Linked DNA regions of Neodiprion lecontei. Each later gene encodes a partner of the first gene's protein in a complex. Links are inferred from orthologs where the notes say so. Each region holds a gene or a part of one and is shown in the gene's direction. Other genes may lie near its edges.

Evidence for each region.
Region 2: mortality factor 4-like protein 1 (region 1) and vacuolar protein sorting-associated protein 72 homolog share a complex: the UniProt entries of both Drosophila melanogaster proteins name them as parts of the tip60 chromatin-remodeling complex. The link is inferred for Neodiprion lecontei from reciprocal best matches to the Drosophila melanogaster genes MRG15 and YL-1.

Annotation. Positions count from the first base shown.
Region 1 is NC_060265.1:18,751,905-18,769,151, forward strand, and holds mortality factor 4-like protein 1, read left to right. Parts: upstream 1-7,822; 5' UTR 7,823-8,048; intron 8,049-8,081; exon of another isoform or gene 8,082-8,228; coding exon of another isoform or gene 8,229-8,247; intron 8,248-9,875; exon of another isoform or gene 9,876-10,439; 5' UTR 10,440-10,905; coding exon 10,906-10,933; intron 10,934-11,007; coding exon 11,008-11,125; intron 11,126-11,944; coding exon 11,945-12,253; intron 12,254-12,351; coding exon 12,352-12,570; intron 12,571-12,849; coding exon 12,850-13,022; intron 13,023-13,560; coding exon 13,561-13,730; 3' UTR 13,731-14,556; downstream 14,557-17,247. Other genes in the region: cytochrome c oxidase assembly protein COX16 homolog, mitochondrial, read left to right, coding at 352-494, 591-705, 776-841; centrosome-associated zinc finger protein CP190, read right to left, coding at 3,362-5,474, 5,577-5,843, 6,032-6,171, 6,311-6,478. UniProt on the Drosophila melanogaster protein: Part of the Tip60 chromatin-remodeling complex which is involved in DNA repair. Upon induction of DNA double-strand breaks, this complex acetylates phosphorylated H2AV in nucleosomes and exchanges it with unmodified H2AV.
Region 2 is NC_060260.1:914,914-930,028, forward strand, and holds vacuolar protein sorting-associated protein 72 homolog, read left to right. Parts: upstream 1-5,404; 5' UTR 5,405-5,756; coding exon 5,757-5,890; intron 5,891-5,998; coding exon 5,999-6,219; intron 6,220-6,320; coding exon 6,321-6,503; intron 6,504-6,594; coding exon 6,595-6,829; intron 6,830-6,946; coding exon 6,947-7,183; intron 7,184-7,280; coding exon 7,281-7,512; 3' UTR 7,513-9,010; downstream 9,011-15,115. Other genes in the region: DDB1- and CUL4-associated factor 13, read right to left, coding at 2,015-2,412, 2,558-2,627; deoxyribose-phosphate aldolase, read left to right, coding at 462-720, 811-998, 1,057-1,198, 1,274-1,650, 1,713-1,946; exocyst complex component 3, read left to right, coding at 2,984-5,254; ras-related protein Rab-11A, read right to left, coding at 9,348-9,484, 9,578-9,852, 9,943-10,138, 11,403-11,442; 60S ribosomal protein L15, read left to right, coding at 12,479-12,598, 13,193-13,373, 13,606-13,742, 13,841-13,951, 14,211-14,405. UniProt on the Drosophila melanogaster protein: Part of the Tip60 chromatin-remodeling complex which is involved in DNA repair. Upon induction of DNA double-strand breaks, this complex acetylates phosphorylated H2AV in nucleosomes and exchanges it with unmodified H2AV.

The DNA of each region.
Region 1 (17,247 bases):
CATGCGCGATTAGACAAGGATACAGGCGTCCCATATGCAGCTTCTCTTTCTATTGCGCTGTCGCATTCACCAACGGCCACCTCCGTTCGTCCCGCGGTCTATGCTGATACTTATGTCTATGCTCTAGTCTCCATTACATTACTTCATGTATTACTCCATTCCAGTCTCCATGTACCTAGGCTTCGTACTGTGGCCCAACTTCTGTACGAATTTAACCTCTAACCGAAGTCGGCGCTCCTTCATGCATTTTACAATTACCGATTAGATCGTATTAATAACTATTTCTGCTGAGTGTTCAGCGATGATCGCGAATCGCATATAGATATTAAATACCTTTTCATTGATCGTGAAATGGAATTCTATCAGAAAATATCAAATAAATTAAAAAACAAATTTCGCGGACTATTTAAAAGTTCTACCCGACGCTATGGTATTCCTTTCATGCTATTTGTTCTCGTTGGATCATTTGGTCTCAAGGAGGTCACTTCGATAAGGTAGATGTTCTTTCCTATTTAGTTTTTCTCGTTTTTCAAATAATAAACCCTACTCTTCCTGAATATTCTGTCGCTAATTAAATTCTCTCCACATAGATATCAGTATCGCGACGATGGTCCATTACTTCACGAAGAAGCTAAGAAAGCTGGAATTGATATGAAAAAGCCAGGCGAAGTGACCTTAGAGACAGTTTATGACTCTGTCAAGGACGTGGGTAGTCCTGTTTTCGATAATCACAGAAAATACATTTGCAACAACATTATTTTTATCTTATTTGCAGCTTGACATAGATAATTGGGAAAACAAAAGAGGACCAAGGCCCTGGGAGGAAAACACCTGGACATAGTATTGATAAAGGAAGAAAAGTATATTCGGGAGATGCCAATGATACGCTTTTCATTTGTTTTAATGCTACTTGGTACAGTGTTGCATAGTAGAATATTTTAATGTTAATTCAAAATAAAATGTAAAAGAAAGTAAGTGAACAGACATCATTTTTGTGTCCTTGGCGTAGCAGCGTTTTCGCTACAAAAATATTTTCTGTATATATGTATATTTCGTATATAATGACTAATTTCTATCTGTTCCTCACGCTGAAAATACAATGAATTCTTATTACCAAAAGTAATTAATTAAGTATTTTCAAAACTAGATTGTTCAAATCAGTCAATTTCGGCAACCCAAAGAACGGAATGTCATTCCTGAATGACGTGAATTTGACGTCTAATTTTTCATTCATAATATACATCAATAGAAAAATCATACATGCATCGGTTTCAAATACGTTGGAGATAATTGCCAAAATAGTGTTGGTATTATGCCAATTAATTGATGGTACACTATGGACGTAAAACTTATTCTCGCTTTTCATATCTTTATAAACCATTAAATGGGTGCACATTTTTTTTTTTTAAAAAAGGTAGTCTGACCTGATTTTTAAAATTGCTTAAGTTTATTGGATGTATGACAGTTATTTAGATATTCAAATTACTGCTCTAGGCATGTGCAATGACTCAAATGAGTAATCTACAAAAAGGAGAATTGTCTAAATCGAGAAGTACGATATATTTATACCAGAGGTCAATGTTTGGATTACTCATAACTCAAGACCCAATTATTGACCTATTTCGATATCTAAAATTGTAATTTATGAACAAACATTGTAACATTTTTGAAATATAGAAATCAATAGCCTCAATTTCATAAGCTTCGATGAATTTTTTTTTCCTCAAAGTTCAACCTTGAATAACTCAGAGTATATCAAAAAATTGTCAGTTCAGCCTACCTCTATGTTCATTGTGAAATGCCACAATGTGGCCACAAAAGCCTGGAGAGTTCAGATATGGATTAAATGTAGAACTATTTTCTCAGTTATATTGAGAAATATATATAAATATACACAATTCTTTTCAATGGTCATTAGTTATAGATATTTCTGTTAAAACATTGCACGATATTGAGAATATTCTTCGTATAGTCTCTTCATGTTTTGTGTCGACGTTTAGTACAAATTTTTAAATATTCAAAACGTATCTTACACACATCCTCTCTGATGTACTAGTCATGCATGCTAATATATGAATTTAATTGAAACTGAAATTTAGGGCATCACAAATGTATAGTAGTGAAGATGTGACAATGCAATACCGATAAACAATTTTTGTAGCAACACGCGTTTGTTCTAGTATTAATCTGTATCTCATCATTAATCTGTCGAAGTCAAAAATATAATTCCATTTTTGCTAGATATAATGAAAGAAATTTGCATATCCTGCAACAAGTTTCAGCCTTAATATTAGGTATGTAAAATTACTCTTTTAAATGCACCTACACAATGATGAGTTTTGGAAAGTCATCAGAAAGCAGGCTACATTAAGTAAATAATTTCTCATTTTATTCACATCAATTTTAAAACCTTTGTAGGTGAAGTTTATACACTCATGACGCTGATGTTTTAAGTTGCACTTATTACTTGCAACACAATGAACGTAGTTCTTAAGATTTTAGCGTATCTGATTTACTAATCGCGAGACATTACAAATGTGTTGACCACTTGAATAGCAGAATTAATATTCATCTCCTACATGTCAGAAAGTAAGAAATATTGCATCTAGAAACTGATCTGTGATCGTAATAAAAAAAAAACCATAACGAATTATAAAGTATGACAGTGAAGCGATTTGTGGAAAGAAGTTTTGCAATAATAAAAAATAAAAATTCAGTTTGAATGAACTTAAACAAAAGTTTAAATGCTCTAATGGTCATTATTGAAATAAGTATCAAATAAAGTATTTCTGTAAACTGATGATTCTTATTGATTAGTTTCAATGTAAAAAAAATTTCTAATATTTATGAGATAAAACCTTTGTGGAAATTAAATTACTGAATTATGTCCAAAGAGTAGGATAGTTGAAGTTTCTGAGCTGAAGTATTCTGAAGTAAATGGCGTTTATCGAAAAATTACATTATCCTCAAGAATCAAAAAGTACTGTGCAATTGTACTGTAACAACAACGTGGGCTCCTAATTACCCCAATAAAAGTACAGAAAACAACCAAATCTTCCTCAACACTTTAAATAAATTGACGAATGACGTTGACCATATAAAATACATATCCTTGTATGTATTGTGAAACTGTTTGTGGAATATCCATTAGTCTAATTCATTCTGATCTACTATACTCCAGGAAGCAAATTTTTTTTATAATCGATACGGCTATAACAATCGAAATGGAGTATTGACCTTCATTTTTAATATTTTGCCTACTCGAAAAAACCAAATCGGTGACAGATCAGTGAAAATCATTTTTATTTGATGTTTTCTCAGTACCAATTTATTATTGTGTATCAGGAAGCCTTTTTATTACCTACGTTGTACCCGTGTCTGCACTGTCATCATCCCATTCATCAGCTATGGTACCAGCTTTCACATTTTCTCGCGGATTTTCTTTCACTGTTTCACCTTCTGTTGCCTCGATTTGTTCCTCTTCTATAATCATGACAGACTCTTCTGCCGGTTGGGATTCAATGGTATGCTCATTTAATTGCTCTTCATGATATTCTAGTATTTCTGTTTCTTCCTCTACATATTGGACCAGGTCTTCCCCTTGCTCAATGTTACCTTCTTCTTCAACCATACCTTCGTTTTCTGTTCTTTCCCCTGTGGCCTCTTCATACTCTTCTGTTACTTCTGCTTCTTGAGCTTCTTCAGTTGCGTCCATGTCCTCTGTTTCTTCATTTTCACCAGCTTCCCCTTCTTCTACCTCTTCAACCTCTTCTTCAACTTCTTCTACTACCTCTTCAACAATTTCTTCAGTTTCTTGACATATCGCTGCCGAGTCATCGACCTGATAATGTTCGTGACTAACTTCCTCATTCTCATGGACGTAAACAATCATTCCATCTTCGTCACCTTGCATAACTATCTGTTCATTAACCCCTACGTTCAATTGGTGTACTGTTTGCTGATGGTCACCTCCCTCTTGTTGTTGATATTCACTGTTATCAATTAGCATAACCATTTGTGGTTCTTCACCAACTTGTTGTCCGTTATACGCTATATTGTGCATTCCATCAGTAATTTGCATCTCAGGAACAATATACTCCGTCTGATCTGTTGTAATTACTTGTTCATGTGTTGCAATAGCATCACCTACACCCAGGGATGCTGCAATTCCACTAGCCACATGACTCAGTGCTTCTGCTTCGGATGACGGCTCTAGAGCGATTGGAGCTGTTGGCGCGATGTCGGAATTTTTTGATATATCTTTATGGACACAATCAATGTGTACCTCCAAATTTGACGCTCTTACAAACAGCTTACCACAGTGTGGACAACGATGGGGTTTATCTCTAATTTCGCTTCTGTTTCCGTGACCTGTGTTCATCTCGTGGCTAGCCAGCTCTGATATATCTGCAAAAGTCTCAGCACATTGTGAACACTGAACATTTTCGGATGACGGAGATGGCTGATGAGCAGGGGCGCAATGTTTGTTGTTGATTTGATGTCGAGCTAGAAGATTTTCAGATAGAGCGACATAAGAGCATGTATGACACTTGGGGAAACACATACTTTTAGGAGGTGGTACGTTATGTTTCGTATAAAGGTGGTACATTAATATATTGCGCTTAGTAGCCTTATAACCACAGTGTTCGCATATCCTCGGGTCAAACCTTTCATCATGAACATCCTGCATGTGTCTCCTATACATATAATAAGTCGCATATTCTTCTTCAATGTCACATTTATTGCATTTCCAAGGACCTGACTCTGTTCCGTCCCCTCCGCTAAACTTAGGCTCTTCTGAGCTTTCACTGTTCGTGTTACCCATCAGGTGGTCAGACTTGAGCACAACGTAAGAAACTTTAGTTTTAGTCGGAATACTTGGTTCGGCTGATTTTGCCTCCTTCTGCATGATTTTAAGACGTATGTTCTTGTTATTTCTAACTAAGTGGGGATACTTTTTGAGAACCTCTCTTATTATTTTAGCGTGATTGTTTATTGCTTCTGGGGTGTTTGTTGGCGATGAGGTACTCTTAGCTTTTTCTAAATTTTCTTTTTCCTCTAAATCAAATCTTACTCGTTTAGTCCGAGACTGATTGGATTCTTGCGGTCTTAGTATAGACTTGGGACCGCCCCAATCATCATCTGAATTGTCTGCTGCCGTTTCTTGGTTCCTACCATGATCATCACCCTCCTCATCATCTGAAGTCTCGTTTTTATAATGTCTATCTTCGTCTCTTGAACGTTTTATTCCAGTTTTGAGTTCATTGTCGCAATCGTCTTGTGAGCTGGGCGCCTTGACAATAGGTTTTGTGTTATAGGTAATGTCGTCAAAAGAGGAAAATACTCCCAAAGCAAAATCTTCCACTTCAGGGAGATCGAATCGAGAGGGACCAGGAGTGGTATCCTTACCAAATGAGTTATTTGGGTAGTCGTAATTGGATGCAGAGTCTAACTTTCTTTTCCAAATTGGGAGCCTGAAAAAATTCGTCGCGAATTGAATATTTTAATAAAAACTATGAACAAAAAATGATAACATGGTAAATGATTATGTAAAAAATTGATAGCTATGTACTTACTTTCGTCCTGGTAATGGCTGTGAAGGCAAAATTGTCGAATGACTGAGACCACTTAATATTTTTTTGCTCTGCGTGACAGGTTTTGTCATAGTAATTACTGGTTGAACATTAGATTTTGACTTTGGTGATGGATTCAATTGCAAGTCTGTGGTATTAAATTGTGCATCAAGTAACTTCGTTAAGACAGTCATGTTCATTTTTTGTGCTGTCCGATACAGAGCATTTTGTTCTGAAGTCCAATACTCCAATTGACCAGTGTACATAAAACTGTGGAAAAAACGAAAAAAAAAACACTGAAAAACGACATTGTACATTTTTCTGCAGTGGAAACTAAGTGTCAAAAAGATTCTAGGCTATCACTTTAGGTACATTATCTTTGTTATTGAATGGCAATAATACAATGTACTGTTTTCCAAGCCTCTGAAAATCAATGATAAAAATAAAGCATAAGGTACCTGATGATAGACTTGACACACTCATAAGGCATATCCGGTGGCATGACAAGTACACCATCAAAGTTATCATCTTTTTCTTTGAGCTGGCATTCGAGTTGCGTAAAGTAATCTGTGCATGTTGTGATTACTAGACGATGAGCCTGTTAGGATTAATAATAAAAATACTATTGACAGTTGTCAAATCATGTTTTAGAAAGTACCACAAGAAGTAAATGATCCAGCTGCGTCATGAAGTTTGCTAAACTGTTCAATAAGAGTAAATACAAGTAAAATATGTACCTGTACGGTGATGTCACTAGTTGGAAATTTGATTGTAAGGTCTAGTAACTCTTCTTCAAAATAGAGCTGTTGCAATCGCTGGAGAAAAAATGTCCCCCAATTGTCTACTTTCACCTGCTTCAGCCCCCGCGAGGGAAGCTGTTTAACTTGATTCGTGACAGTCTGCATTGTCCAGCGTCTATATTAGATATGTAAAAGGAAAAACAATATCATTGACTTTGATTCTATAAAGATACATATTTATACTTTCAATGGATTTCAAGCTATTTCTTTTCTCTGTGACCATGCATTTATTCACAGTGCTTAAATCGAAAGTATGCCAACTTTGTCTAAAGAAAGTTTAGATTGCACACAAAATTTACACAGTTCTGATCCGACAGTTTAACGAAAATGAAAATTGTCAACAAATACAAAATCAAATTGTATCAAGTTAATCCAGTCGCTGCAAAGGACAAGTGATAAAAAATCATTGTGAAGAGATTTTGTGGACTTTAGTATGAGATTTGAATTTGCAAGTCTACGCGTTACTGTTCTGATATATTGCAAGTTATTGAACATTGAACTATAGTTTAGCTGACTGACAGTGAGAAATAAACCGAAAAACTGATTGTAATTGCAAGATCCTTATCAGTGACATGTATACCTATGTAGGTATTTGCGGATAGAGGAATACAGAACAATCTGAGATTGTTAAACAGAATAAGTTGGTAGAATTGCTGGAATATTGGGCGGTTAGAAATGGAAAAACTCGATTTATCCGGCTGATGGATCTCGCCTAAAGTGAATGTTGGCGAGGTGATACATGTAAATAGGCTCGACCAATTAACCTAATCTACGGAAGGCTAAGTTCCAGGAGAGAATAGCGTATGATGTACAGAACGTATACGTCGCAGGTTTCGAGCGACCAGGGGACGCGTCTGGTCATCCCATTGTGGCCTTTGCTTACGGGGCTTCGGGTTAGTCCCGAATATCTGAGCGGAGTATCTGATTATTCCAGTTGAGGAACGATACCGGAACATTCTTTAGCGTTCAAACGCACGTACCTTTTCAACAGGATTGTAGCAATTCTCCGGTCAGCTCCATCTCTTACAAATTTGCTCAGTAGGCGACTGATATCGAGCTTTTCACTATCGTTCGTGACCCACAGATGGCGCTGTTGTTGGGCTGTCGCGTGCGGCCGGAAATTAAAAATTCACTATCTCTAGCTTCCTTTCTACCCTCACAGGAATATCAAGTAGACTCATAACTAGTAAAAATTATATTTGAAAAATAAGCTTGTTCACCTAAAGTTTTACACTGACTTGTTCGTTTAACCTAATTCACTATTATTCAGATATTTTCATTTGATATTTTCATTTATCTACCAATTTTTATTCACGGTTGTGCGCATCGGAGAAGTGCGCATGAGGTCTGATGCATTGCCACACAATGCGCATGCGTCGATTGCCAATCTTGTATAATGTTGGTATAATATTAATTACCATAGATTAGACGATATTCTGGGCAGTCTGAGCACTCCGACTTACGCTCCGGCTGAAGAATAGTATGCCGGAAGCCAGCGGCAAAACTCACAACCCATGCGATGCTATAAGGCCGAAACAGCGAGTTCCGTTTGCTAAATCACCAACAATTTTAACGTTTACTCACACCCTGATTCTATCGGAGGGGCTTATATTCACTCAGACTTTTAGTGTACAAGTGATTTCGTATGACTTCAAGTGATTCCGGATAATTTCAAGTGATTTCAGATCTTTGCAATACACTACGTCTAATTTTTCCCACTTCGTATGATTTCATGCGATTATATGTGATTTCACGGAATTTCTAATTGTTTTTACATAATTTCATATCGATTTCACACGAATTGGGGTTTAACATTGATTGTAGAATGACTTCGTGACGAGTATGGTAGATTTCCATGCAATTTCGGCTTGTAGGCAAGAGATTTCACGTGGATTTACATATCATAACTGTAATTCTTCTTTTACGTTGTGATGTTTTAAAACTATTTCTGCTCGTTCCATAATATATTACATATTTCGAATTAATTTTATATCCATTATGGCGGATAGGGTGAAAAATCTAGAAAGATCAGAAAACAGAAGTTACAAACTAAAATTTTCGAAGTCGTGAATATCTATGTGACAGAATTTAAAAAAGCAGAAATTAGAAATATGGAAGAGTTAATTAATGTAAAAAGGTCAGAATTCTGACGATTCTATGTTTCGGTTTTGTGTATGGGACATTCTACATCAAATTAACACCGCATGTACCTCACCCCCTTCGATTTGGATCATTTTTTAGTATAATGTTCTTGCCGACCCAAAAGTGTCTCAGATTTTTTTTCAGATTTCTTGAGCCACCCGTGAAATTTAAAGAAAATCTGAGGACCTATTCTGAAACCGCCATTTTAAAAATCTGAAAGTAATCAAACAACACTATTCTTTTTCTATTTTCTAGTTTTTCCATGTCAGAATTGGAATTTTTATTTTTTTGGTCGGGCACAACTTTTTCAAATATGAATGGATTTCAATTTTTCTGGCATTTAGAGAAATGTCAGAAGTCCTGAATACAGTTGATGCCACTGTAATTTTTTATTCGCACTGTCTATAATATGTATATTACACAATCAATACAAAATGCGCTTAATTCTGAACTGCTCTTTCTTTAGACTGTTTTCTTTTTGTTTCCGATCGGAATCCATTACGGAATCATAAAGTTAATGTAATTTTAGTTACAATCTTTCATTTTGAATTTCTCTTCATTGCTTTCAGTTTTTTTCGGTTCACAATTTTGCAAGGCATTGTTTCAATAACTTGCAAAAACAATTAGAATGGCATTAACTGTATTCAGGCCTTTGAGCATTTCTCTAAATTCCAGAAAACTTGAAATTCATTAACATTTGACAAAGTTGTGACCGATAAAAAAAAAAATTTCAATCCCGACATCGAAAAACTAAGTATAGTAAATATTGAGATTCCATTATCGTGTGGTGCTTAAAAAACATATTTTAAATCATAGAATCAGTTTGAATTTTATTCAAACGCGTGGATTATGCGTGGAGTTTTCGTTATTGCGATGCTTGTTCGCTTTTTTTTATTTTATTGTCAGTCCTCCGTAGGGTGGTTTCCTTACTAACAATTAGTAGTTTTTATTTCAGTTTTTTGTTCCATTAGTTGCTTATAATTACCTTCTGGTAGTTTCTGCCTCTTTTCATTACACAATTCTTAATCTCTCTTTTAAAGGGTTCCACAGATTTTTGTCGTACTTCATCTGATGAATCATTACATATTTTATTTTTGATTCAAACAAAATGTACACTTTTTTAACCTGAAAAGCGGGACGACTGTAGCGTATGATTCTCTTTTATACTTTTTTCCGCAAATTACTTATCCCGTTTTTCGGAGTTTCTCTCTTCTTTCTCAATTTTGAACTAATTCTTACTGCATTATTATAAATTTTAAATAATATTATAGTTTTTGGAAGAATAAAATTATGACACATCCGCATAATAGAAAAAATGATGATTTTTTATACAAAAAATGCTTTTATCCGTTTACAGAGTGTTCAGCGACCAGGAATTCCTGGAAAACCGAGAATTATACGGGAATTTGAAATTGCCCTTAAAAATGCCAGAAATATACGGCAATTTCATATAGCAGCCGGGAAGTTTTTCATTAAATTGAATTTGCATAAAATTTCGTCCTAGGTCTAGTAATGAGATCCCTGACTCAACTTATTTCACATTAAGGGAATGTCCTGGTCCATTGCGACGCTGAATTATATATATACATATATTGCAGTCGACGTACCTCAACCGCGAAAAAGGACTCAACACTCCCTTCTTATAGACAATTCTGAACAAAACTACTTCAATACATTTTCATTTGACGCAGAAATAAAGAAATGGCATGTACTCCACAAATTTACTGTAGCGATTTTACAGAAAGCATCCCATCCCTTTATTTGTGCGTCAAATGAAAATGTATTGAAGTATTTTTGTTCAAAATTGCATATAGAGTAGGGCAGTTTAACCCTTTTCCCTGGACCTCGTTATTTGGCGATATCGGCCAGAGCACCCCCTTAAAGACGGTTACCCTAATGGAGTACTTTGTGTTTGTCAATGAAGAAGCTGACGGAACTTATCCGACGAGTACCGGTCGCAGTCATAAAAATTTGCCCAGGGGTCACCGTACTTAAATTCTTCAGTCAACGTTCTGTATGACTCATCGTCCTGTTTACCTGTGAAAGACTACCATCTCCGTCGGACCTCGAGCGTGTCGTATATTGTGAGACTCCACAGAAGCAAACAAAGTGTAGCATTCTTGTATAATACTGTTGCGATTGATTTACTCTCTTCACGAATCCAGATTCAGCCTTGCCATCACGCTGGAGACACGGATTGTATAGTTGTGTGAGGTTGATATCAGTTACGCAGAGTACGACCGAGAGAGCGTCAGGCGTCTGTCATAAGCGTCTTGTGCCCTAACCTATAAATTTGATCGTCGGCTATCAAAAACGATTTGTTTATTTATTTTATCAAACAAAAATAAACTGGGGGGAATCAAGTAGAGTGTAAAAAGATCAAAAACAAAATGCCACCGAAGTGTAAATTTCAAGAAGGTGTGGTAATTGTAATTATTTGTACTCAAATTGGCGATAGTTGAATCCATAATTATTATACCATTGGATTTCAGGAGAAAAAGTACTCTGTTTTCACGGACCATTAATATACGAAGCCAAATGCCTGAAGTCTTCGGTTACCAAGGAGAAACAGATTAAATATCTGATACACTATGCGGGTTGGAACAAAAAGTAAGTAACCGTTTATTCTTATTTTCTGAACTCTACCACGGTTCGCGTGTATTTGCAAGAATACAGGTTATAACAAATGTTAAGCATTGTTTTGTAGAATCATTTAAACACAATCTTCAATCTCTTTCCTAATATTTGTTCATTTGGTTGTTGAATTATTGAAACTATCAAAATCCAGTAAATGGGTGGACTTTTCTTAAGTGGTTACATGTTCATATGCCCATTTTCCTCATTTAATAAACCTGGATAGTTCATACGCTCCAAAATTTGGAAGTTAATTACATTACAATTTCTAAAAACCAGCAAAAATTTACCAGCACTTATTGAATTATAGGACAGTATTTACTTTTTTGTGCAAAGTATTCTCTACCACTATCTGAATGTGATATCACTGTGCTTATGTAATGGGTAATTAAATAATAAATCATAATCATTAATAAACAAGCATTTTTTGAGATGAGGATACTTGAATTTGATGTATTTTGTGTTTTTGCATTTGATATATCGCGTTTTGCGCAGATGTATACTGCAACTGGTTTTCTTATTACCATATTGTTAAAACATTCTTATTTACCTTAAATGTCGGAAACATTCTTACCTAACTTTTAATGCGAGATTGCCATTCCAGGTAAATATAAAAAAATAATTTCACAAATGCAGTTTTATACCTTACATTCAGGGTTGATTTATATTGAGAACAATACAGTATTACTTTTAGTATGAAACCTGATACATTAGTCTTTTATCATATCCTAGATACTACTGTAATGGAGTAAAGTCACAAATTACATAAGGGGACGGATGACTGTTTACTTTTAGTTGGGATGAATGGGTGCCAGAGAGTCGAGTGCTGAAGTACAACGAGTCGAATGTACAAAAACAAAGAGAAGTGCAACGTGCCCATTCAACTCAGCAGCCTTCGCACAAAGGTAAAAAGACTGGGACCACTACTAAAGCCCAAGGGCGTAGAAGTGAGAGTGGCAGAGACAAAGATAGTGAAAGTCGGGCAAGTACTCCTGTTGGAATAGCTGAGAAGACGGGGGGCCGGTCTATCAAAGGGCTTGGCGGGGGTGCTACACCGTCATCGTCCCATGATTCGTCGTCTGATGCACCGCGCAAAAAAAGAAGGTTCTTACTTCTCTTCACTCTCTATAACAACAAGTGACTAGATTGGTAAAAGTTTTGTAGTATTGTTAATAGAATCAAACTGATTCATTTATATTCAGCCGCGTTGATCCTTCTGTGGAAACGGAGGAGCAGTTCTTAACAAAAGTTGAGGTGAAGGTTAAAATGCCTGATGAGCTGAAGCCGTGGCTTGTCGATGATTGGGATGCTATTAGCAGGCAACGCAAACTGGCAATACTACCTGCAAGGAATACAGTCGATCGTATTTTGGACGATTACGTCAAATTTAAGACATCTAGTAAAACCAACAACCCCAATAAGTATGTAAATGTTCAGTTTTAATTGAAAAATTTATGACCAACTAGAGTTTGCTCAGACCTCACTCTACTCAGTTTAAAAGTCCATTACTCCGCTCCAGGAAGTCATAGCCGCATAAACCATGGACCTGAGTGGAATGGCACCAAATTGAGTTTTGGGACCATTGCATAACACACAGACATACGAACTGACAACGCAAATACGTTTTAACTTCTTTTCTACTAATAGTTTAAATAATAGCTCGGACAGAAACATTATTTTTCATACTAATTTTTCTGCAGAGAAAGCGCTGTTCTAGAAGTGACAAAAGGCGTGCGGGAGTATTTCAATGTGATGTTAGGTACGCAATTACTTTATCGATGGGAACGTCAACAATACAGTGAAGTAATGACTGAAAATCCAGACTCAACTCCCAGTCAAATATACGGAGCTTTCCACCTACTCAGGCTATTTGGTAAGCGACAAATTTATTCTCAAGTCTTGTATTGGATTCAAAGTAGCACATATCGTTTCAGAAAATGATTTGGTTAAAAATATTAATCATAACAAACCTAGTGAATTTCATAATTAATGAAAGTGCAATTTTTTCAATGAGAAAAATTAACGGACGACCAGGAGAATCTACCCTGGGACCAGTGGAGGCCTATACCTGGACTTATACCCACTGGACCACCAGGTTTCCTCGCTACTGTCACGTTAATCCTTCTCATCTACTGTCTTGAATTAATTGCATATATATTCTTGACTAGTCAAAATAGAAAAAAAAAATCTAAAAGCAGCATACGCTAGTAGTTGTAAATAAAACTCGTGTAATAGGCCGCAGTATGCAATACAAACCATGCTTTGTGTTAGCCACCGATACCTTGCAAGCAAGATACGTGCATACGACTTCGCCTAACGAGTATGAGTGCGATGTAGTCAATAATATCATATATATAATGTGAATTTAATTTGAGTAAATTTCAAAGTACTCTAATAATTTCATCCTACAGTGAAACTTGGCAGTATGTTATCTTACACACCTCTCGACGAGAGAAGTATTCAGTTACTTTTGGCGCACATACACGACTTTTTGAGATACTTGCATAAGAATAGCAGCGACTTATTCAGTCTTCAAGATTACGGAGCAGCACCACCGGAATATCACCGTAAATGCAATTAAGTTGAATTATGCAACATTTATATTAAAATGTCAGCAAAATGAGCCAATGCATCCATTTTACCGCTTATTATAATCACTGTCAAACTGCATTGTCCCTCTTGTATTTACTATGCAATTACCATAATATTTTCCTCTTTCTCTATGGTTTAATATTTTCGTATTCAGTTATTTCAAACTTGTGTGCAATTTCATTTTTAAATAAAATAACCTCATACGACATTTCTCTTGGACTGTTTGTCCACAAATATTAACCCCTATAACGTAGGTAATTATTGAAGTGACATTTTTTCGGGGTTCCGATAACATTCCCATACATTTTTTTTTTTTTATTGTTCTCAATCAATCACCTACAATGGAATGTAGGGCGTGATTTTACCGGGTATGAAAAAAATCATTCTCGGGATGACTTCTGTGTGTTTGACCGAAGAATGTAAGCCCTTGCCAAAGTTTAAAATACACGCGTACGATGGCAGTGCAGGTTGAATTATTGGAATTTCAAACGTTGGGAGAAATAATAGTTTCATGATATGTATCGCCACAGATCGCCACTTGATCACTACGAAATACACGTAATGTGTATTATTTTCGTACCTCAGCTGTACTACCGTATTAAGCAGAAAGGTGGTAACTTGTTTTCTTACCATTCTAAGATATTCAGTTTCATATAATAATATTTTAGCGGACAAGTTCTCATATTTGAATTGAATCACGAAGATAAAAGATTATATTACTTATTCTAGTTATAAAAATGTTAATTATTAGATAATTAAGTAATAAAATTGAAATTTTTTGTATTAGCTACTTTGAGAATTATTATTTGTAACGTTTAATACTAAGATTACCTGATGTATCTTATGAATTTGAATAATTTAAAAATTATTTGTTAATAAATTCTACTTTTTACATCATTTTCTGGGAAAACATATTAGAGAGAGTATCACAAGCAATGAAATACTTAGATATTTCAATTGCAACTTAAGCTAAGGGTTAAGCAGCTACGCTAAGAATACTAAGATATTTTAGTCGTAACTTAAGAGGTTATGCTAAGAATATTAATATATTTTGGCGTAATTTATTAATATCTTAGTAGTTGATACAGTAATTTTACTATTAAAAAATACTTCAAATTGATTATACAATAAGAATGTTTACCAGTCGATACAACATCATCTAAGACTCATAACACATTTTCGTGAAAAAAGTGATTTACTACCTCTGTGCGTAGTACGGTAGTATAACTTTAGTCTGCGAACAGGTCTGTAGGTCACGAGACGTCATATAAAACGTTTCGTCAACGATGCAATAACCATAATAGCAATGCGTTTGTTGCCTGATTGTCAGAAAACTGTGCCATCGGCACAATTTATTTTTGCCTTTTTACAAACAGCATAACTTCGAGTGTTGCACAATATCTGAGCGGATTCAATTTGTGAAGAATCATCAATTAAAAAAATGGAATGAGGGCGTGTCAAGTTTATTACATTTAGATTTGTGCAAGCTATGAAAAAAATTTTAACCACATTTTACACAATTTGGTTTTAACATGAGAAAAAATTCACGCATGAAATTAAATATAAAAACTTCGTGAATTCGTCGGTGTAAACAGAGGTGCTAAAATATCCGTTTTCATCGGTCGGTTCTATTTTGAAACGGCGGATCGTGCGGCTGGCCTAGCGGCTATAAACGCGAGGCAATTTTTACGGATAGGAAAATGAAAACACGGGTCCGAGGGAAACTTGATTCCCCCGATGCCAAAGTTGGGAGTAACTTCATAACGTACGAGACGACAGAGAAAAAATCATACCTATAAGTTTCAAGAATTGTTTGCATGGCATAGTTATTTGATACGCGTATACATTTTATATCGCACACCGCTGTACAATACTGTGGGGGGAAATGAGCGTGCTCGTTATGCTCGTCAGAGATTATTCAGCTGTTCGTTGCCCCAGAAACATGTCGTATTTATAACATGGGATACCGCACGCATCTTTCGTTAATGTGGGAGGCGCATAAATTTGGCGCGGCGGAAAACAGTCGAACAACCATAAACGGTAAAATATAGCTAGATGTCATTTAATTTCAAGAATTTAACCCTCGTTTAACGTCGTGTGTATGTATAGAAATAATTACTTTCGAGGGTGTTTTCCCGGAGGAGTTCTCTGTTTTGAAATTTTTTATTTTATGCCAGCAGTTGCGATAGCTTCTGCCATCTGCAGGGAGACGCCGTCCGCGATACATCGGTTATTCATAGCGCAGATTATTTCAAATATATGATACGTACGATACGTGTAAGTATGCAGAGAGAATTTTTTTAGAATTTACGTTCGGCGATCCGATATGATTTTCGCTTTTCTCTGTAATACGATTCGCGCGAGGAACAGAAGCAAAGAAATGAAAAAGGGAACCGGGTATGAATCACTTCATCCCGGCCCTATGTAGGAGTACGATACGGATTTATGTTGTTAAATAAATAAATGGATAAGGTCTCGCTCAAGTTTATGACACACTTATTTATAAAATTTACCTCTTCATAACGGTTTATGATATTCTGCATCGCTGCAGGTTGAGTCATCACATAAGTTACACACTCTGTTGTGGTTCGGTGAAGGCTTTTCTGCCTCCCGACAGTGCTCTTTTATACTCATGCACTGTAACAAGCGTAGCAATCGATTGAAACAAAATCTAATTTAAATATATTTCATCGATTACGGGTAAGTTTGTGCACTGCTTTTGCATCCTTGCCCGTACCAGCATGGATTCATCTTAAAATCATTGATTTTCGCTTGTATCTAAATATGAAATATGAATCTCTGTGAATAATAAACTCTCTTCTGTGTGAAAATTTTATTCTAAAAAAAATCAGAGTATTCTTAAATGAAACTTTGGTGTAAGTTAATTTTCTATCTGTACACTATTTCGTTATATTCAATAGAGATTCAATCGAGTGCGATAACTTAATTTAGTCTCATGATTTTCCCAGAGGACATTCAAGCATTCTCTTCGGCCAACAAAAATAAATAAATAGCTCAGAGTTCTAATAATGAAACTGAAATTTGAATAAAAGTTCAATAAATTAAATTTGATGTAGAAATGTACCACTCGCGAAACCTTGCAGGGATGTATGTAAAAACAGCAAATAAAACAGGATAGTGTTGTCAAATTCCAAGAAATCACGAAGTTAAATACGGCGAAATTGTAAAATTGACAATTAGGTATCTTGGAATGAGTTGACAGTGAATCTCTACGACACTCTACGACTTTTTAATACGGAATCTCCGTTCACAGATTTCGTCGAAAAACTTGTGGTGCTATGCATGAATATTAGCCAAGAAAGATCGCACCAGAAACATGACAATCCCAAAGATCGTGATCTATTTTATCAAATCATCGGCATCGAAGTATCACCGCGGGATTGGGCAATTTCATGGATATATCATACAGCAGGTACTTTGGACATTGAAACGATTGACTTTCAAAGTCTGCCGGAATACGCGTTCAAAGGATGGAGATGACTCAG
Region 2 (15,115 bases), on another chromosome or scaffold:
ACTCAATTTTTCAGCCTCTGTAAAACAAGTAACTGTGGCCTCAACTACGCGAGGGTCCCAGTGAAGACCCCTATTGACAGATAACCTTCCATAAATAGCAGGTCCGTTCAGGTCACGGTCTTCTACAAAATTCTGAGCACTCAGTCTCTAAAACTCATCGGCATACAGAATGGACCGCGCGTTCCCTGCCTGAGCAATGCACAGAATATGTCCGCCGCTGTGCAAGCGAGATAAAGCATTGCAGTGTTAATCGCTGTCTCTTTCCAAGACCGCTATTGATTGAATATCCCACCGCGTAGCTGAAACAAGAACACGAATAGGCCCGTACTGCTGTCCGTCTCTTTCCATTCGGCGGACACGTTTTTGGCCCGCTCTCGCAGTCCATTCTTTATGTCGATGCTAAAACCGTGACCTAAAAATGTGCCAGGTGGCGCCGGTGAGGGGGAGGCTGGCTTTTATATATGCCTCTTTGTTGCACACCCTGCACACTCCGGCTACCGAAATTGCAGCGTTATCAACACGGTTACGCCGCGCTCTATGGCAAAAAGATCGGAGTTGATAGAAGTGCCCGCATCTGTGTAGAAGACAGTGGTTCTAGTTCACTAATTTTGATAAGACAGTTTTCCAAGTTCTTTACCAAGCACCGTTACTCTTCTATCTTAAAATTACTCAACTCCATCAAGATGGTAGAAAAGAACCTTGGCAGACCATTTGATGCTTGTAAGAGATTCAACTGTATTCCTTTCTGGGTGTGAAACTTGTTCAAAGTAGTAAAAATTGAAGTAAGCTAATAACTTTTTACTATTCCAGCCTTGATCAAGCGCATCAATTTAAATGTACCAGCCATAAATACCAGAGTTAGATATATCATTGAAAAGGCGAATAGTATTACCGAATGCAACCGTGTAGCATGGCTGATCAAAGCAGTAACATGCATAGATCTGACGACACTGGGTGGTGATGACACTTTTGCAAGTGTTGAAAGACTCACTAAGAAGGTGACATTAAATGCAGACTGTTTGGATGGATGTGATCTAACAATTTCAATATTTTCAGGCTGTTAAGCCTATCGTATTACCATTTGAATGGGAAGGCTCTCTGTCTACTGCAGCAGTTTGTGTATATCCTGCGCGTGTCGCCGATGTTGTGCAAACATTGAAAAACCTTAATGCCACGGGAAAAGTCAACGTGGCTAGCGGTAAGAAATGTCTGACTCAAAATTTCACATAAAAACAACAACGATGAGTTTACAAATGTCCAATGATGTGCATAGTTGCTACCGGATTCCCAAGCGGTCAATATCCGTTGCAAACCCGGATGGATGAAATTTCGCTCGCAGTTTCGAACGGAGCTACAGAAATAGATATTGTCATAAATCGAACGCTAGCGTTAACTCATCAGTGGGAAAAACTATACAATGAGATTAAATTAATGAAGCAAGCCTGTGGAAAAGCAAAAATGAAGACTATTTTAGCAACTGGTGAACTTTTTGACCTCAAAGATGTGTATAGAGCATCAATAATCGCAGCGATGGCTGGATCAGATTTTATAAAAACTTCTACCGGAAAAGAAACGGTAAATGCTACCTTACCTGTTGGGATTGTCATGTGCAGAGCTATTCGGGACTACCATAACTTGACTGGTTACAAGGTACGGGCAATAAGTTAGTAATTTCGTTCGAAATACTTTTGGTAACACTTGCGTATTTTCAGGTCGGATTTAAACCAGCTGGAGGTATAAAAACTTGGGGAGAAGCGCTGCAGTGGCTGGTATTGATCAAGGAAGAACTGAGCGATGTATGGCTCCATAATAGCCTGTTCAGAATCGGCGCTTCGAGTGTGCTAGGTGACATCACTAGCGAGATTAATAGGTCTTTGGATGAAGTTAAAGAGGCTAAAGTACCTACTTTATACGAGCATGAGAACTTTGATGATTCAGACAAATAAAAGTATCTTCAAAAACTTGCGTTAATTTTGTTTAATAATTTAAGAGGATTTTACAGATACGAACTCACCTTACTAACAATGGTGTTAATAGGATCCTCCTGTTCTCCCGTTATTGAACTTTCTGCCTTCCAGGTCTTTATAGTTTTGTCATCGCCGATACTCAGAAAGCTTTCCCCATCCGATGAAAATGCAATACCTCGAACTATACCGTCGTGAGCCAGAAACGAGCGCTCGCATACGCGTTGCGATAAATTCCACACTTTAATCTCTCCATCAAATGCTCCGCTCAAAAGCATCGATAACTTTAGAGGGTGCTTGGAAAGACAAGACACACTGTCTTTGTGGCCATCCAAACTCCCTATGAATGGCTTGGCGAATACTCTCTCTAGCTTGACTGCATTTAAAGCCCTTGTATACTCTCTCGCAGCCTCAAACGGATGCAGGGATGGATCGTAGTTTCTGGGAACTAGAAGAAATCAAGTATTTTAGTAAATATGTATAAAAAATGAAAGAAAAAAGATTAATTTTCTTTTTTGTCGGTTTCGCTGCAAATCCAGTGTACACAATACGGTTTATAGGTTAGAAAAACTAGGTAGAAATACGTGCAATACCTTTATGAATATCTCGTTTGGTTTCTCTCAGATATTCATCGGGATTTCTGCAGAGCACCTTGACTTTCATTTTGGTACAGGACCAGCCCTCTGTCGTAAATTATCCAATATGTAAGTCGATTGATAATTACAAAACATGTGAGAAAAACGCACTATGAAATCTAAGGGCTACTGTGCCATGTGTATGAATCTGTATGAACTATGTTTGAAAATGAAGTAACCTAGGATTGGTCGGATCTAACGGAACACACTAATGATATCGCTTTATTAGCTAAAAACTTCGCCGATCAAGAAAATTAAATGCAACATGGCTCTGGTGTGTAGATGGGGGCTCATGGGGGCGTCAGCTGTGTTATAACCTCAAAAACTGACGGCTGTCAAACGCTTACTATCAACAAACAGAGTGATTGAGGTTTAAAAATAATAATGACGAACGAGAGCGGAGAAAAAATGCTGGACCTTCGAAAATCTGAAGAGGAAGCTAAGGCAACAGCGACGAAACACATAATAAATATGCTCCAGCGTCCTGGTCAGCTGGAAAAAGTAGAACATTACAAGCGTAGGATCAGTCGGAAAAAAGCTTCGATTGAAACGAAGTTGAAAACTGCGATGCAAAGTCAATTGGACGGGGTGAGAGTCGGTTTCAATCAGCTTCAAGAGTCGCTGGAAAGTATCTCCTTGATTAAACAAGAACTGGACCTGATCGGCGAGTCATTTGGCTCCGCTCCTGAGCTGAACAACACTCTGCAGGCTGTTCAAGATGAGAACATGCGACACTCGCAGTACGTCACCGCTAAAGAGAACCTGAAACACATATTCACTGTTCCAGAAAGCGTTGAGAAGACGAAGCAATGGATAAACGAAGGAAAACTTTTACACGCCCATCAGAGTTTGATGGATTTGGAGAATTCGAGGGACGACTTGCTGTACGAACTGCACAAGCTGCCCAATCAATCACTCGCCGATAAAGTCATGCTGAAAGCGTACTTTGAAGATGTAGAAACTTTGTCGCAGTTAATGGAAAAGCAAATTAAATTGGTTGTTGGTCGCACTTTAAACACTGTCAGAAAAGAACCAACCATCATTGTTACGGCGCTGAGGATAATTGAACGGGAAGAGAAGGCGGATCAGTTTGCAATTCAAAGGCATAAGCAGAGCGGATTCATGCCTCCGGGAAGACCGAAGAATTGGAAAAAGATGGCAATTGAAGTATTGGAGAAATCTGTGGCCAACAGAGTCGAGGGAACTCATGTAGATGAACGAGCAGACAATAAAATGTGGCTGGCAAGGTATCTGGAATTGGCACGTCTCCTCATCCTCGAGGACCTAAGGGTGGTAAAAACACTGTGCGGACCTTGCTTCCCACCCTCTTACAACATAGTCAGGAAGTTTGTAGAGATGTACCATAACAGTCTATCTCAACACTTGAAAGACATAATAGCAAATGGCCTAGAGGGTAACGAATACGTATCTCTGCTTGCCTGGATAATGAACACTTATACAGGTGTAGAACTAATGCAACACCCGGAGCTGAACATCGACACCAGTGATATAGGACCTTTGCTGAGCAACGAGGTCCTGGAGGAACTGCAGGATCAATACTTGAAGAACATGCAACAGAACTATGAAGAATGGATGAAGAAGACATTGGAAACTGAAAAGGTTGACTGGTGGAGCGGAGTACTGCCAGAAGGTAGTACGCAAGAAACCTATTACCACACGGCAGCACCGGTAATCATATTTCAAATGGTGGATCAGAATCTCCAAGTAACGAAAACGATCAGCAATCAACTAACTGCCAGAGCGCTTGTCCTTTGTATAGACCAAGTTGTGAGATACTGTGCGGCGTATCGTCAGGCCATACTTGAGTTCAAAAGCAAACATTTCGAGGATCGGAGCAGAGTTCCTTACTTCACTCACCACATGATCACCATTGTAAACAATTGCCTTCAGTTTATTGAACTCGCTCAGCAAATGAAACAACTTTACTGGGTTTCCAATGCCAGCGGTGATGCTGCTGTCAGGTTTGAGGCTCTCCTGGCCAATTACCAACAGCTGAGAGATGAGGCGGCGACCATTTTATTGGAGGAGTCGTTCCTAGACTTGGAACTCCACTTCCAAGATCTCCTCACCCCAAAATGGCTCTCCTCGCCGATACCCGTAGAAACGATCTGCGTAACCTTGGAGGACTATTTTCAGGACTATAATCACCTTAGAGTAAAGAATTTTGAATATGTCATTACAGAGGCTCAAAATCTGATAGCTAAACGATATATAGCAGCTATGCTGCAGCGAAAGATATCGCTAAAGACGTACGACGAATGTCTCACTTGCACATCAAAAATTATGACAGAGGCTGATAAGATAAAGAATTTTTTCGTCAGAATTGCACCCAAAGTGGGCAACTTTGATTCGCCTTTCGAAGTAATAAAAAGACTGGCCGAAGTACTGCGTTGCGAGGATTCTGAAATTTTATCTTTGGATCTACATTCACTCGTTGAAAAATACCCTGACATGACCGAAGATCATCTCGTACGATTGTTGAGTCTCCGAGGAGACATACCGAGAGCTACAGCTAGGGAAAAAGTAGCGTACATATACGAAGCTCAACGTAATCGAACAGCTCCACAGCCCATGCCTAATAGTATATTTAAGCAAATTGTCATCCAGGATAGTTTCTTAAATTGGAAACCCTGAGTACTGTAAATAAATAATTTTTCGTCTTGTATAGAAATTTGTCTAGTTATTAAAAATGGGAAAGGTTTTTCGGTTCACTTCTATATCCCACTCCACAGAGCTAGCTGTACGGGCATTTCTGTCAGAAATTGTGCTCTGCATGTTCAGCCAATAAGTATACATTCAGCAATGTCGGCAAAATTTTCTTCAATCAAACGTGTTATCATTTGTAGCTGACGTCACAATTCGAAACGTCTTAATTCTATTCTGAAAAAAAAATTACACTCGAATATAGAAGGTTCGTTGTTTTTCAGTTTGAAAAAAAAACAGTCGTCTGACAGTTGCGCACAGCCACGCGTTTGGCGAGAACACGAAAGTGTGATCTAACCTCAAAAACCCACGTCAATAGTGGCTTGAGCCTCACAGGCATCACTGAATCAAAGATCTTCTCCTCGAATGAACAATAATTAATAAGAAAGTGAACTATTGAATCAATCGTGCTGTCAAAAAACATTTCTCTACGATGGCATCGACGAGAGAGAGACGTTCCAATGCTGGGAATAAAATGGCAAGATTACTCAACGAAGAAGAAGAGGATGATTTCTATAAAACTACATACGGAGGGTTCGAAGAAGTCGAGCAGGATAACGATTACATGTTAGTTAGATGAGAATTTCAATTGACAAACATTCTGTTTAATATTTCCATAAAATTAGTATTTCACTCACAGAATAATACTTCATTGTAATGTTGTTGAATACTCAGGGAAGAGGACGAAGGCGAGGATGAAGTGGACTCAGATTTTAGTATAGACGAAAATGACGAGCCTGTTTCCGATCCCGAACAAGAAGGACCCAAAAAAAAACGACGCCTTGTTACAAAGGCATACAAAGAGCCTAAACCTACCTCAGCACACTCACATTCTACTCCTAAAGAGAAAAAGACTAAGACACCCAGGCAACGTCGAACTTCTATTGACAATTCAGGTATATCAGGAAATATCAATGGCGATAAACGTGATCATAGCCATTCGATCAGCAGTATTTATAGCCTCATGCCAAACTACTATCCCCGTTTCGTTTTAAAGAGAGAAAATCCATTCGTCGTTCTACTGCTGCAAAGTCGGCAGCGACCCAAAGACGACTCAAAGAGAGAAATGAGGATCTGAAGAGAAAAGTTAAGACTGTAAAGTACGACGTTTGGAAGCCAACGCAGGAAGAACTGTTGGAGGAAGCCCTCATCACGGAGGAAGTAAATTTAAAATCATTAGGTAATGAATAATACTGCTGGCAAGTAAAAAGACATGATTGTCTGTGCCGATGGATGGTTATTCAACTCATACTTTTAACATGTTTTGACAGAAAAATACCAAAAGTTAGAGAACGAGAAGAAAAACACGAGGACAGTGCGAAAGACAAATGTTGGCCCCATTATACGTTACCAATCTTTGTCTATGCCTGTTTTGATGCTGTCTGAAACACAAGCTGACAAAGATGAGGAAAAAATTAACGTCGAAGCTGACGATGAAAAAAATACCACTAATACAACCAGTGATATTCTAGAACCTGGATTATCACCTCCCTTGTCTGAAAAACAGTGAGACTTAAATTGGTCGTTATTTGTGTAAAGCCTTTTGCAATATGCAGACCGCAATAAAAAACAAAAACGTCCATAACTGCCGTAGTTCTAACTACTTTCAAAATTATTTTTCAGAGAAATAATGGATCAACAAAAAACTATTGACGGCGGTAACAAAGATACACCTATTAAACAGAAGGGAGAATCGAGCTCAGCTCCTAATGAAGCTGAAAGTCAAATCATTCATGAAGATACAGGTTCTAAATACGAAAGAACTTTCATCACATTTGAAAACGAACGACTTTTTACGGAAGCTTTCAAACGTACACCTGCTCCTCGCCCCTCACTAAAATCTCTTTGTGCAATTACAAGGTAAGTTACGGCCTTTCGACATTGATGTATTACTCCTGAAGGTGATTACTTTGAAATAATCAGGTACTAATACACTATATTTTCTGAATGATTTTAGACTTCCTGCACGGTATATGGATCCAGTGACACAGCTACCGTACAGAAATATACAAATGTTTAGAATATTAAGAGAGGCGTATTATCAACAGCTGGAATCTCGTGCAGAGACAAACGATGCTACTCAAAACCTTGAATTGGTACGGTGGCTTGAATGGCGTCAGAAAAATCGTCGCAATAATAACAGAAATACGATTCGTCTGGAACCCGCTTCAGTGTCGCAGGCATCTTAGCTGATCCTTCTGGTCAATCGCTATTCCTTGTAGCATTGAACAGTCTTTTGTCACATCATTTGACATGACACTGGATAATTATTTTATCAAATGCCTGCTTCAGTATTTTCATACGAAAATGAGAATGAAAATCGAAAAAATCGAAGCAATTTACACCACTTTCCCTTTCGAAAATATGGAAATTGCTTCTACTCTGTTGGGTAGATGACTTCCTTCGAGGGATTTTAAGAATTGGGATTGGATTAAAAAATATCTATTTTTTAAACGAACGGAACGAGTTTCAATGGTTTTTATTGTTTTTTTTTTTTTTCTTTTTTTTTAATAAAGCTTTGCCACTTCACATTAACTAGTAGAATAAGTTAAAGTTTTTTTGTTTTCATATTCTTTATTGCTAAAATGCAAATTTATCATTTACCTACATGGATTTAATCAGGAAACCACAATCAGCACTAAGACGTTTTCTATTTGATACAACGAAAGAGACGTCTTTATTTCAATATGAATAAAATTAAATGTGTAGAAAAAAAAAATTAGGTATGTAATTGTAATTAATAATAAGGTTAGTAAATTACGCATATCATAAGGTTTTCATAACAGTGTGTTTAATTTTTTAATTTTTTCTTTCTCAAGATTTTTTTCCTTCATTTCTTCTAAAGCATGTTTTGTATAGTAATTAGGAGTTGTTAATCTCTCGTGTAGTGCGCGAAGCCTAGACATTTCAAGTTCCACAACGTGTTGTTCGCTGTTGCCTTTGCTTCGATTTATTTCATTCAGTTCCAAGTCATTCTATTTTACGACAAAGATGGTTCTCGCAATCTGCAACGCGTCTACACGCGTATCAAACCAATCAATCATTTATCTGTACATGCTCAAAATGTCTTCCTGGTCGCAATCTTAAATTAAATTTAAATGTCTACGTGAAATTGTTTATTATTTTTTTACCTTTGTTTTTTCATTTTTTAAATTAATATTTCACACGTTTTTCTGGACACGAAGCTGTTTGTAAAAAATAAAGTCGAAAAGCATACAGTTTAGTGCTTGCGCGTATCATTTTATTTTAATTCTACTACGTGCGCGCGAGAGCAAGTAGTGATCAACATGGAGTCATTCCCATCTTCGTCGTTTCGTCTTTATTGATATTTAGTATTTTCATTACGACGTCTGCTCTGCACAATTATCATTGTAATTGTGTTATTATTTATAAATTGTTTATAGTATATGTACTCGTGATCATCACACTATGCGTAGAGAAGAATAATTATATATGTATTACAAAGAAGCGGTAATACAACATTTAATTATCATAACGTAATATATATATATATATACATACATATATGTATAATAGTGTAGATATATATGTGTATATATATGTATATGTATAGTAGTAAATAAGACAAATTTGAATAGAGGGCAGAATGGTGTGCCGGCCACGGTGAATTCTTTATCTTGTACGTCGCTTTTTCGGGAGAATTGAATCTTTTTCTGCCATTTAAACCAACAGACCAAAAAAAGATCTTCTACACCTATACAAGATCGAAAATATAGTCTTAGTCCGCGTCCTACCACGCATCCGCTGTACCTACCACCAGTCACCACTCTCTCCCTCCAGCCCACCATGTAACCGCTTCTGAAAAATTGGAATGATATCAGAACGCTCCAGAAAGTAAGAGGAAACAGGAGAAAAACGTCCTTAAATTAGTAAAATGTAAGCTTTTGAATAGTTTGTGTCAGGTAATGGTTGGAAATTAATCAGATAAAGAATAATTAAATAACGAATGACCATAATAGAATCAATTTCACAGCGCCACTCACATAGAAAGCAGTAAGGCGAGTCACTGGCAACACTGCTTGCGCATTCCGTCAGCATTCATCGTCGGTTTAACGTCGATTGGCTCTACGTTTTGCGGCCGGATAGTGTCACCTTCGGGAGGATCTCTAATTTGTTTCTGAGAAACGATTCTGTAGATTTCTGAAGAGTTGAAAGAATGTATAAGGAAACGTAAGACGATTATAAGTTTTCAAAATTTCGTATTAAATTGAAACTGAATTCTTGTCATGTTACCTGTTAAGATATTCTGGAAAGCGAGTTCAACATTGGTCGAATCCAGAGCGGATGTTTCGATAAAAGAGAGGCCATTCTTCTCCGCAAATGCCTTAGCCTCGTCGGTAGGAACTGCTCGTAAGTGCCTCAAGTCGGATTTGTTGCCCACCAGCATAATCACTATGTTCTGATCTGCGTGATCCCGAAGTTCTCGCAACCATCTCTCCACATTTTCATACGTCAAATGTTTTGCTATGTCATAGACCAATAATGCTCCAACTGCTCCGCGGTAGTACCTGTCGTACATCCAACATGTAATACAAATTAATTACAAACAGACCAATCACAAGGAACAATAGTCAAATATTCCATAATCATATACGCACGCTGAGGTAATAGCTCGGTAACGTTCTTGTCCAGCAGTGTCCCATATTTGAGCTTTGATAGTCTTGCTGTCTACTTCTATACTGCGCGTAGCAAACTCAACACCTATGGTCGATTTTGACTCCAGGTTGAACTCATTACGTGTGAAGCGTGAGAGCAAGTTACTCTTTCCTACTCCTGAGTCTCCGATTAGGACAACTGTAATCAAACACAATTGTCACTGGAATTACCTTGATTAATTTCCCCCGTGTACTCGAATGGCATTCTGTTACCTATCAGAATTGTTCTAATTCTTCGGTACTGACTTATGAAAGGAAATTAATTGACCTCAAGTTCTTGAGATCTCGATCAATTACAGATGTGCTCTTAGACTCTAGAATCTAAGAAGAATTGATTTCAGTTGCAATCAAACGGTGCCATGAATAGAGTAATATATGCAAATTAAAGTTGATATGTGCATGTGCGGTAACAGATTCAATGGGTTCTACATCGAATATATGTAAGTAGGCGATTGTCGACGACGAGAATTCTTTACTCATTTATTAAAATTATTTCGGTGTCAGGTCGCGCTCGTTGTATAGCAGGAGGCAGGACAAGCCTGTAAACATGTTACGAGCAGACGAACAAATCAAGTGTGATAGCGATAGTACTACTGTTGGACATGGACAAAACAAAGATAAAAAGATGCACAATAACCTGTTCCGTCACAAAAATTCTCAGTACCAGCGTGTTGGAAAATAAATGTGCAGAAAATTTTTCAAACTGAACTTTCATCTCTGTGAAAAAATTATCATAAAAATAATTTTCTAAAGTTTGACAAAGGTCATTGTTAACAAAGCAACTCATATAGAGCCGAGCACAAGCATTAGTCAGACTAGAGGGAGGCTCAGTCATGTTGTGACACAGTCACATTACTTGATTACGAGTTATACGTAAATGAGGACTACAAAGAATAGTAAAAAAGAAATGATATTTGCTGACGTCATGATTATTTATTGTACGTTGTACGCAAAACGGGAACTTATAATCAAAGTAATTCGGGAACGTTCGATATTTCGTGCGAATGGAACAAATAAATGCCATCAATGATATTGTCGAAAGATCGCAGAGTATCTCCGCGTTTTGAATAGCGTAAACTATAAATAATTTCATAAGGTGGCAAACATATTCCGTTAACGCGGTTCCTGCAAACAATAATCTGTTCGCGGTCGGAAAAGCGATAACGGTTAGTTTCCTCGTGACGGAAAGAACGCAAGTGACGTACGTATGTGCCAATGTCACTTAAATCAAGCAACAATACAACAACGCGTGAAACATGACTATATGAGAAGAGTCCTATGGAGTTCCGAGCCGCGTTCGTCGGAGGTTGGCAAACCGACAGAGGATAGTCGCGTTATGGCTCCGTCGCTTGATTATCGAGTTGCGATTATGAGTTTATGATTATTCAAACGGGTACAATTACCTTTGAATAAATAATCGTACTCGTCGTCTCGAGTCCCCATCTCCGCGGTAGCAACGAACTCCTCCCTTGGTTTCGTTGCGGACGACGACGACGTTTGTTCCTCTACCTCCGATCACGGATACGCAAGAAATATTCCGACGTCGCTGTCTGTATTTATTTTACAAAAGCCTCGTCGTTTTAGGAGCGATTTATCGATGACCACCGATTACCGATCGGTATATTATTTAGACAGGCTGCACGGGTGTTTACTTGAAAAATTACTGTGACTGGACGGTTCCCAGTCTAAAATAATACAATTAATTATTTTCTCCCTTTCAATTTAACTGTACAATATGGCCTCCTTTCTACGCCCCTCCAAACCGATATCCCGCGCTTGCGCGGGACCTCGAAACAACTCCGTAACACGCATGCGCTGCGTTATTGCGATGACACGATGATGAGCAACGTCAAAATGACAGATCGCGCATATATTGCATGCTTTTTGCTTTTGTACAACTCGCTTACATCGACATTATTCCGCAGTCTCAACTGAATTCAGAGAAATCCGAGAACGGAATTGAAACGCCATAAAGTTCCCTGTAATTTAGCTATCAAATAGACTTTTTTTTTCGAATTATTATACTTGGTAATCAGTGTCCAATAATCACGCGGCACATGTCCAGCGATGACACTTCAGATAATAAATGCTCTGTTCCGGATTGATAACTATCGAGACATTCCAACCCAAGGCGTGTCTGTATAAAATGTTGTACGATAGAATTCTATAGCTCCGTTAAAACGAACCATCAATTTGCTGTTTGGGCAAAAGATTGAAAATGATTTCCTTTGTCCGTACGATTTCAAAACCCGAATTCCCGTTTTTCCCCCGACCGTGATTTCATTTTCAACCCACAGCTGCATCGACGAATTTATTCTGCGTATAATATATAATGTACAAAGTAGATTTAACGAGCTTTTGGATTATATAAAGCTTTGATAAAATCTTCATTAAATGTCAATTTAAATAACGCGTCAAATATAATTATTTATACACCGCTTAATTGACTAGAGAATTGAAATATTCCTGGCTATTTTGGATGGTTTTTGGAACGCGCGCAAAGTACGCCGGCGATAAGTGGCGCCGTCTCGTCCAACGTCCGCACCTCGCTACACGATGGAGTTCAAGTCCTTTCCTTTTCTGTTTCGGATTGCAAGGGGTGAGTCGGACATATTGTTGAATAATCGTAATTTATCCAGGACATCACAGCTTCCAGTGAACTTCTATCGTTCGATTTTGCACCATTATACGTTTACCCTCAATCTCTCGGTAATAGTTTGCAATTCTCAAGGCAATACCAAAAAGTCTTACTCCGTTTGTGCTTTTAGGTTATCCAGCGCACAAGTGTATCAATTAATCGTACAAAGCTAGCGGCAAATATATTCTGTACCAAGCAGCGAACAGCAATTGTTTCTCTTTGCTTGATATAAAATATTTTTACTACCTTCGTCAAAGCTGATCTGATCTGATCACTAGCTAGTCTATTTTTATTTAATTAATCATTAAGTATGTCTAAAGTTGACAGTGAAACGCATGTCGTACGCGTGCACGGTTGTTTCGTTCGACTGGGTACGGAAATAGTACAACTTTGTAGTTTCCGATATTTTTATGATGATTGGGCATGCACCACTCTGACCCTGAGTGAATTGAGAAAAATTACCCTTGTTTTTTCTGAAAAATATCCGCTTATTTGACATCATTTTCGTATGTTCAATTGAACTGTTATCAAGAGAACGTTTTTTTCTTACACCAGGGAATCAAGATGGGTGCATACAAGTATATGCAAGAGCTGTACCGTAAGAAGCAGAGCGATGTGCTCCGTTTCTTGCTTAGAGTTAGATGCTGGCAGTATCGTCAACTCACCAAAATGCATCGTGCACCCAGGCCATCTCGTCCCGACAAAGCCCGCCGCTTGGGTTACAAAGCTAAGCAAGGTATTTGCGCAAATTTATATTTTTGAATGTAACAAAATTCATATTTCTGTCTTTAAAATTTATATTTTCTGTGATGAACTGTACATGCACCACTCTTACTGAACCGTGGGGATATGTACTGTCTGATGAAAAGTTTTAAATAACATTGTTTGGTCTGGGTATTTGATCTACTCTCGTTTAATCTTTAAATATATTGAATATTAGTAAAATATCGTTTTACAAATTCTTACAGGCTTTGTCATCTTCAGAATCCGTGTGCGTCGTGGAGGTCGTAAACGCCCTGTACCCAAAGGTGCTACCTTTGGTAAGCCAAAAAGTCACGGGGTGAACCAATTGAAGCCCACACGTAAACTGCAGTCCATTGCTGAAGTAAGAGTCACAATATCAACTTATAAATCTGCAATAATATGAGAGAAAAAATTAATTCAATCTTGCAATAATGACCTCACTCACCATGTTTCTTACAGGAACGTGTTGGTCGCCGCTGTGGTGGACTGCGTGTGCTGAACAGCTACTGGGTAGCTCAAGATTCGTCCTACAAATACTATGAAATCATTCTCGTTGACCCTGCACACAAGGTAAAAATTTGTATTGTGGTAATTGTAGAGTTTTCAGATATAGACAAAAAAGAGATATTTTTTCTTTTTGCTACAAAAAAAAAAAATATCATGATTGCCCCCAGTGACATGATGATATCATTATTTTAGCATTGAAACTGATGATGTTTTTGCTTCCTTGGATGTCTGATTACTGGGTGGCCTATCTTATATTACATTGTTAATATTTTGATTTATATCTTTGCGTTCCTAATTTTTAACGGCATATTATTCTCCACAGGCAATCCGCAATGATCCAAAGGTAAACTGGATTTGTAACTCGGTACAAAAGCATCGCGAGCTGCGCGGAAAGACCTCAGTAGGCAGGAGTTCACGTGGATTAGGAAAGGGTCATCGTTATTCGCAGACGATCGGTGGATCGCGTCGCGCCGCCTGGTTAAGAAGAAACTCACTCTCGTTGCGCCGAAAGCGTTAAGCACGTGCTCGGCGTTATATTTTTCGGTGTTTTTTCGAGCGAGTCGTGGTCCGTTATCGTACACACGTTATTCAGCATGTGTTGGTAGCCGTCACGAGAATAAACACCATTTTACAATAAAGTCGCAGCGATATTTTTCCTCTTTTACCCTCTACTTGATAGATTATTTTCGGTATGAGCGAAAAGTTAAGATTATTCTAGATGTCATCGACGTGGATTCAAACCTGTCTGGATCTAAATACGAGTCTTAATGATCGAATTTCGATACAACCCCGTTCGTGGTATCAATTTCGATGATTCGCTTACTTGCTGGGTTTTGCGTTTAACGAGAACGAGCCGACATTACATCGTGGTTATCTTATCGAAATGCAATCTTACTGGTTATGTAATATGATAATACACACTTCACCCATGTTAAACTATTATTGTATAGTGCCTAGAAACTCTCGGTCGCAAAATTGAAATTTTTCTTCGGAAGATATCAAGCCGAGGCAAAATGGGACAAAATTGTTGTACTAGCGATGATTCCAACGAACACCTTCCATACCAGCCACAAGACACGATAATTTACATGGATGGACGTGAAGGTAAATCAAGAGATTTTCTTCTTACATTTTAAACCAGAAGCGTGAAAAAATATTACGTACCTGTGTCCTAAAATTTCTAAAGTTGAACTCTCTCTCGGTATATTTTATTTCTGAAGATCATTT